2 linked regions of the Xenopus tropicalis genome follow. The protein of the gene in region 1 purifies or fractionates together with the protein of each later gene. This does not show direct contact. Links are inferred from orthologs where the notes say so. Each region holds a gene or a part of one and is shown on either strand. Other genes may lie near its edges. The genes, in order: pex1 and pex26.

The links.
Region 2: the proteins of pex1 (region 1) and pex26 purify together in Homo sapiens (affinity purification with western blotting; 3 studies listed by BioGRID and IntAct, with this or other methods). This does not show direct contact. The link is inferred for Xenopus tropicalis from reciprocal best matches to the Homo sapiens genes PEX1 and PEX26.

The regions. Positions count from the first base shown.
Region 1 is NC_030682.2:31,796,565-31,800,295, reverse strand, and holds part of pex1 (peroxisome biogenesis factor 1), read right to left. Parts: coding exon 3,684-3,731; intron 3,249-3,683; coding exon 3,021-3,248; intron 1,197-3,020; coding exon 1,005-1,196; intron 1-1,004. UniProt on the Homo sapiens protein: Component of the PEX1-PEX6 AAA ATPase complex, a protein dislocase complex that mediates the ATP-dependent extraction of the PEX5 receptor from peroxisomal membranes, an essential step for PEX5 recycling.
Region 2 is NC_030679.2:8,465,621-8,469,914, forward strand, and holds the start of pex26 (peroxisome assembly protein 26), read left to right. Parts: upstream 1-1,232; 5' UTR 1,233-1,264; coding exon 1,265-1,305; exon of another isoform or gene 1,306-1,315; intron 1,316-1,514; coding exon 1,515-1,727; intron 1,728-2,502; coding exon 2,503-2,643; intron 2,644-2,949; coding exon 2,950-3,266; intron 3,267-4,294. UniProt on the Homo sapiens protein: Peroxisomal docking factor that anchors PEX1 and PEX6 to peroxisome membranes. PEX26 is therefore required for the formation of the PEX1-PEX6 AAA ATPase complex, a complex that mediates the extraction of the PEX5 receptor from peroxisomal membrane.

The sequences.
Region 1 (3,731 bases):
GTAAACAAAGTTTGGTTCCTCATTAAAATAATTTCTTGCACTGCAGGGTTTGTCTCATTTTTCTGTACATATACAATAATACATGCCTGCAGAGCTTATGGCGAGGCTCCTTCTTTACATATCATCAGTTAATATTATGAGTATGAACTAACTGCCTTAACTGAGGCACCCGGCACCCAATGTAACAGAACAGTGTAAGTTCTGTATGTATTAAAGAGGTGGTTGACCTTTATGTTAACTTTTACTATGTTATAGAATGTCCTAATCCTAGCAACTTTGCATCTGGTCTTCATTTATTATTTTACAGTTATTTCACTTACACTTCTACATCTTTTCAGCTTTTAAAAAAACATTTGCTCTGTGATCTTACAATTGGATAATTACGGTTACTTTTTTTTTTTTTTTACTTATTCTATTCAGTCCCTATTCATATTCCAGTCTCTCATGTAAACCACTGCCTGGTTGCTAAGTTAAACAAGACTGTAGCAACCAGAGAGATGCTGAAATTCCAAACAAAAAGCTAAATAGCTAAAAAAAACAAAAAAAAACCCCCAAAAAGCTAAACACAAAAATAAAAAATGAAAACCAATTGCAAACTGTCTTATAATATCACTGTCTACAACATACTAAAATTGAATTTAATGGTGAACAACCCCTTAAAACCACAATAAATGCAGGTCTCACATTAGGGTGAATGTTCTAAACACATATATATAACTGCACCCTCACAGGAGAAATTAATGTAAATATTTTGTTAGTAATTACAGCATTTCACAATTTAGGATGAATGAATTACTAACCAGACCATGTGAAGGAGCCCCTTAATATAATTTGTGATGGGTTTTACAGAGCAGAGCAAACATATGTGGGATAACAGATAAAAGAAAGGTCTAAAAAAATATATTTACAGGACTCTCTTCTACGGGCATCTATACTGCAAAGCCCAATAGCATTTAAGATAGATGTGGGTAGGGAATGTAACAGAAGAATATGTAACATTATACCACATTCATGCAGTTGGCCTTGGGTACACTGATCTCATCATCTACTTTCTGACATTGTTCCTGACTGTGTTGCTGGTGATCTTCTGGTGAGCTGCTTATAAACACTAGAGGTTGTGAAGGCACTAATTCTCCTATAGTCGGGCCAGTAAACTCATGTGTAATGGAATTGCTTCCAGAAAAGCTCTGGGAAGTCTGTAAAGACAATTGAAGAGAGCTGTTACATCTGTTCCTATACATCTGTACATATTGATAGTGGAAATGTAAACGTTTGCAAGAGGTTGCCAGAAATACACATTTTAACCCAAAGATGGTTTATTTAAAAAAACACAAAATTCATTTAGATATAATAGTTTATAATTTATTAATGCGATTTTAAAATTCTTTACACATTAGACATGCTTTAGTGAACAACACTTGAAAAGCGCAACACAACCCTGCAAATAATGCCTGCCATAGGCAGGTGGAAAGTGCATCTTACACCCATTGGTGCTCCCTAGATTGCTTGTCTGAATAATGCGCAAACTTGGGAGTATCCAAGGAGTTTCCTACATAATGCCCCCAGCCCACCACCCTGTGAAAGTAAAGACGCCACATGCTGGAATGAATGTCTTCGATGGGATGCTTTATCATATCCAAGGAGGGTAAAGAGTGATCTAGAACACTATCTTGGTCTCCTCCCGAGTCATCAGAATCACTTCTGTGGTTTAGGAATATTATGGAAGACAAGCTCATATCACTGCTCCCTAGATTGTTTGTCTGAATTATGTGCAAACTTGGGAGTGTCCAAGGAGTTTCCCACATAATGCCCCCAGCCCACCACCCTGTGAATAGATATGTACTGCAGATAACACGGTGTTCTGACCTAGGAACCCCTGCACTACACTATATGAATGCAAACAATCTGCCATAAACTACTATATAAAGGAAGCTTGTGTAAATGTTTTAAAACTGATCACCCCAATTTCAAACTGCTCAAAAATGCATATAGAGTAAATCTGATCATAATTCCTACCGGTGACCCCAAAGTCAGTGCTTTTATTAACTGAAAACTGCACTCATATTCTTAAATCTCTTACAAGTTCCAGGTGCACATGTACAGTGGGATTAAAAGCAGAATTTAAAAGGAAAAACTCAGCTTTTTTTACTGAGCATGTGGCCCAGGGCCACAAAGAAGAATGAAGAGTTGGGAGAAGGTTGTGATGTGGTGCTCCTATGAAAGTACCCCTGGCTGGTGCAGTTTTCAGCTAACAGGAGAACGGGCCAGGGGTTTTATGTAAAGAAATATAATCGCTGGGGTGTGCCTAACATTAGGCATCCCCCAGTGATTATACCTTTTCTTCTCCTTTAATGCTTCAGTGCAATACAAAATGGGCACGAAAAGCAAGAAAAGCAGCACAGTTAACTTAATACCACAACAAACCAGAGTTAAGTATGAGCTATAGTGGCCTTAAAATGATATTTTAATCAAACCTAAGTAGAAAATCTTACAAAAATATTGCTTGTCATTGCATACTTGTAGTATAACCCAAATAAAGGCGTCATGTTATAAAGACTTTTAAATTGATACTTTGCATGCTGCATGCTGAACTGGAAAAAGACAATTATTAATTCATTCTAGAGGAAGATGAACAGCACAACAGATAGTAACAGTCACAGCTTCCCATGGGAAAGCTTGGGTCACCCATACAGAAAGCAAGGTCTAAATACAGCTGTCACCCTGAATTTAACGTTTTGTGGTACACAATGGGGCTGGGACAACAGTATCCCAGGAAATACTATTAGGATTCAATACAAATGATCTGAGGGATAAAATGTGTATTTGCATGCAACATGGACTCTGCCTAATTATCTTCACACTTTTTTTTACTGTAAACTAGCTGATAATAACTTGATTCTGGTGACATGGATTAATAAAGTGGAAACTGACCTAATCTACATAGAAAATAATGCAGGACATCCACTGAGCCATAGGGAAACAGCTTGCATAGCCAGTCTGTAATAATCTTAGGAAATCACCTGTTCTGAACTGCCGTTTCCAAGGTCTGAATCATATGAATTTCCAAAGTAAAGACGCCACATGCTGGAATGAATGTCTTCGATGGGAAGCTTTATCATATCCAAGGAGGGTAAAGAGTGATCTAGAACACTATCTTGGTCTCCTCCCGAGTCATCAGAAGCACTGCTGTGGTTCAGGAATATTATGGAAGACAAGCTCATATCACTGTCAGATCCAGAATTGTTGTCCTGAAACATCAGAAGGAAACAATGCATTAAAATAGTATTGGAAAAGGAAAAATGTAAAATGCAAGTTGAATTATTTTTTAAACATCATCTAAAGTACAGAGACATCTGGGCATGTTTCATATGACTGACAAATAGCAGCTCACTAACTCACCTTATTTCTATTACAGACCTAGTGCTGGGCAAGAGCTAGCAGGATTCATAGCTTGGGGCTGTGCCTCTTCTGCCAAAAGCTTTTCCCAATACACATGGTCTAATCTGTATAAACAAATTTATGATACCAAGCCCACCTAAATAACAGGCTTTTTATTATTATTAAGAGGGGCCCATCAGTATAAAAGACTTTTGATTATAAGGGGGGCCATAAGTATAAAAGGCTTTTCATTATAAAGGGCCCATAAGTACCACAGAGAAAATGAATCATGCAGATGCTTATACCTGAGGAACGGTTACCGACAGGTTAGTATGAATTGCCTCCAGCTGAGC
Region 2 (4,294 bases), on another chromosome or scaffold:
TTCTGCCCCCAATAAGGGGTAATTATATCTTAGTTGGGATCAAGTACAGGTACTGTTTTATTATTACAGAGAAAAGGGAATCATTTAACCATTAAATAAACCCAATAGGGCTGTTCTGCCCCCAATAAGGAGTAATTATATCTTAGTTGGGATCAAGTACAAGTTACTGTTTTATTAATACATTTTTAAAAATTAGAACTATTTGGTAATAATGGAGTCTATGGGAGATGGCCTTAAATTCGGAACTTTCTGGATAACGGGTTTCCGGATAAGGGATCCCATACCTGTATTTGGTCTTCTTTTTTTTATTATTTGTGGTTTTTGTATTATTTAGCTTTTTGTTCAGCAGATCTCCAACAGGTATCTGGTTGCTAGGGTCCAAATGAACCTAGCAACCAGGCAGGGGTTTGAATGGGAGGGATATGAATAGGAAATGGGCTAAACAATAACTAATAAGACAATAAAATTGTAAAACCAGAACAATAGTTTTTGGCTGCTGGGGGTCAGTGACCCCCTTTTGAAAACTGGAAAGAATCAGAAGAAGGCAAATAATTCAAAAACTATAAGGAATACAAAATGAAGACCAATTGCTATGTGGTTGTTAGGACTTGATTACCCTAGCAACAAGGGAGCAGTTTGGAAGATCAATAGCAGAGCCTGAAACAAATTAAATTGAACCTGTACAGTACCGATTCAGTGAACTATATGTGGGCAAAGCTGACCTGCACCTAAGGTGGCAATTGTTTGGGCCAAACCTGCCCCCACACAATAGTACCCCCTCTTTCTCCCTGACAACAGGAGAAGGGTATGGCACAATAGAGATTGGCAGAATGGCAGACCCAGCCATAGCATGGCACCAGCTAAAACACAAGGCTCTGCCTCATACACACTTTAAAAAACAAAGCAGTATATTGTTTTATTTAGATATTAAGTTTTCCTTTCAGTAAGGGCCCCTCCCCTTCCCCACACAACTGCCCCTGCTACACTGCTATCCCTCTGTGTCTTTGCCACAACTCCATACGAAGTACTCGGCCTATCGTTTGCAAGGATACTGTCACATGGTTCTGCGACCCAATCAGATCCTTAGCAGGCATTGAGCTAGAACTTCCGGTCTGTGGAGCTTATGCGTTCCACCTGTCAGTGTGTCACAGTCAGAACTTCCGGTCTGTGGAGCTTATGCGTTCCACCTGTCCGTGTGTAAATGTCAGAAAGGTGCAGTTGTAATAGTGGAATTGTGGGTGAGGGGTGGACCTATGTTGTGTTTATGGCAAGGGGGGAATGCTGTTCTGTTCTGGGACTAATTCAGTGAGATAAGGTTTTGCTGTCTGTCCAGTCTGTGCTCTTTAACCTGTAATAACTGTGTGCAGGAAGTGTATTATTATTTAGGGGGAGGACATATTGCAGGGCAGGGAAGGTTGGTTACAGTAAAGTGTGGGGGCTTAGACGTAAAGACACTAAAAAAAACTCTCTTTCGTACGCAATATTAAATTGTACATGTTCTCTTCCCTTGTTAGCAGGAACCCCATGGCAGTTGCAGAAAATGTGTCCAGCTGTTCGCTAAGCGCTATGTGGGATTGGTCGCATCTGTCATTGTCTGGGACCCCCCCTGCCGTGCCGCTGTTGGACGCAGCTGCCGACCTGCTGGTGCTGGAGAGAAACTTTGCAGCTTCCCTTGGAATCTGTGAGAGAGGCCTACAGATCCTGTCTGCTGAACCAACAGATGCAAAGTGAGTTGCTTTGAGTTCCCTTTCTCTCATCACAAAGTGTATAGAAGTAATGGGGAAGCACTCACCCCAAATCTCCCCCTAACTGGCCTTCAGGTTGGGCCCCCTTAGCCCATAACAAGGTTACAGATATATAGAAACATTGGGGTAACAGTCACCCCGCTATAGTTCCAGGGGTACCCAGGGCACAAATAAGCACTCACCCCAAATCCCCCCCTAACTGGCCTTCAGGCTGGGCCCCCTTAGCCCATAACAAGGTTACAGATATATAGAAACATTGGGGTAACAGTCACCCTGCTATAGTTCCAGGGGTACCCAGGGCACAAATAAGCACTCACCCCAAATCTCCCCCCTAACTGGCCTTCAGGCTGGGCCCCCTTAGACCATAACAAGGTTACAGATATATAGAAACACTGGGGTAACAGTCACCCTGCTATAGTTCCAGGGGTACCCAGGGCACAAATAAGCACTCACCCCAAATCCCCCCCTAACTGGCCTTCAGGCTGGGCCCCCTTAGCCCATAACAAGGTTACAGATATATAGAAACATTGGGGTAACAGTCACCCTGCTATAGTTCCAGGGGTACCCAGGGCACAAATAAGCACTCACCCCAAATCCCCCCCTAACTGGCCTTCAGGCTGGGCCCCCCCTTAGCTTCAAGGAGTTTACCTTTACCTTAACTTTTAGAATGCTGTAAACAGTTTTGTTCTGAGACTATTTGCAGTTTTTGATTTGTTTATTATTTAATGTTCAGTCTGACGTGTCCTTTATCCTTGAGGTGTGAGCAGGTGAAGACGTCTCTCTGTGTCGTTGCGATTCAGTGTCTGGTTGAGTTGGGAAGATGGAGGGAAGTGCTTCCTTGGCTAATTCAGTATTACCAAACCCCACAGGAGATGCCTTACAATATTATGGAGATGTGGTGAGTGAGTATATCATATATCAAGCCTTTCCTTACTATAAGCGCTGCTTTTGTCGTAGACTTTAGATTGCAGTCTGCATCATGGTAGAATTGGGGTCTTGGTTTAGATTGTACTTTTAACACTAAATAAATTGAGCTTGCCATGTAGTTTTGAGGGGCTTCTTCCGCCAGTCCAGAAACATACAGGTAGGGGGCATTAATACATTAATATCCCTTGTGCCTACACTGATATTAAATGTATATACTGCCCCCTGATCCCTAAACGTCTGTATATTTTCATTGTATTCTCTTTTTTTTTTTTTTTAGCATTTTGTTGTATGGGAAGGTAAAGCAGCCACAAGTTATGCTGGAAGTAAGTAGTGATTGGTTGCAAGTCCAAGCCAATCGGCTACTGCCAAACTGCTGCAGGGTTGCAGAGCTCCATCTGCTGCACATACTACTACCCCTGGGGCTGTTTTCTGATGCTGAAGTGCTGGCTCAGGATTCGGATGTATTCACGGAAAAGCAGAGGCACATAGCCTTGGCGCTTGTGAGCGAACACAGGAGACAGTGGGAAGAGTATGAAGCTGCTGCCGCTACAGAGAGGGACGAGCACAGCCAATCAGAGTCAATGGGACGAACTGGTATGAACATTCCTGCCAATCAGATCCACCCATACTGTGAACACTTGCACTGCAGCCCCGGCAGACTGTCTGTAGAAGAGTCTACAATTGCAGCAGTTGGGTCGTAAAAACACAGATAGGTGGCCATACACGTAAAGATCCGCTCACCTGGCAAGGTCGCCAAGCGAGCAGATCTTCTCCCAATATCCCCACCTACAGGTGGGTAATATCGGGTGAATTAAGCTAATTCAGTTGTTTGGCCCTGGGGCCAAACAATCAAATTATAACGACTGGAATAGGCGCAGTTAGTTCGGGGACCGCATCAACGAGCCGATGCGGTCCCCGATCTGACTAAATTTTTTAACCTGCCCGATCGATATCTGCCCGATTTCAGGCCAGATGTTGGTCAGGCAGGCCAGATGTTGGTCAGGCAGGCCAGATGTTGGTCAGGCAGGCCAGATGTTGGTCAGGCAGGCCAGATGTCGTTCAGGCAGGCCAGATGTTGTTTCCCCTACACGGGCCGATAACCTGCCGAATCGGTCCATATCGGCAGCTACAATCGGCCTGTGTATGGGCACCTTAAGAGACTGTGCAATTTTGAATGAGTATTTAAACCCGTTTATTGCTGGGCAGCAGTGAATCGGTGGGTAGGCTAGGGCATTTCCCAGTCCTGTTCACATAGATGGTTGCAAGCTCTGAAAAGCAAATGTTTGACCTGAATAATGGTGCCCATAGGCGAAGCCATAGGGTGGTGGGGAGGGTGGGCTGCTGGTTGCCCATTGTTGCCTTTCTAACCTGCCCAAGTGTACCACCATCCCATCATGTATAATAATAGTAACATAGTAAGTTAGATTGAAAAAAGACACCCACTCCCTTCTTCTAAACGGAGTGGGTGCCCTCGTGTCCGTTGGAAGGCCCTACTGGTAAATAAAGCATTAGAGAGGTTATTATATGATCCCCTTATATATTTATACATAGTTATCATGTCCCCCCTTAAGCGCCTCTTCTCCAGTGTAAACAAACCCAACCCAGTCTTTTTTCGCAACTGA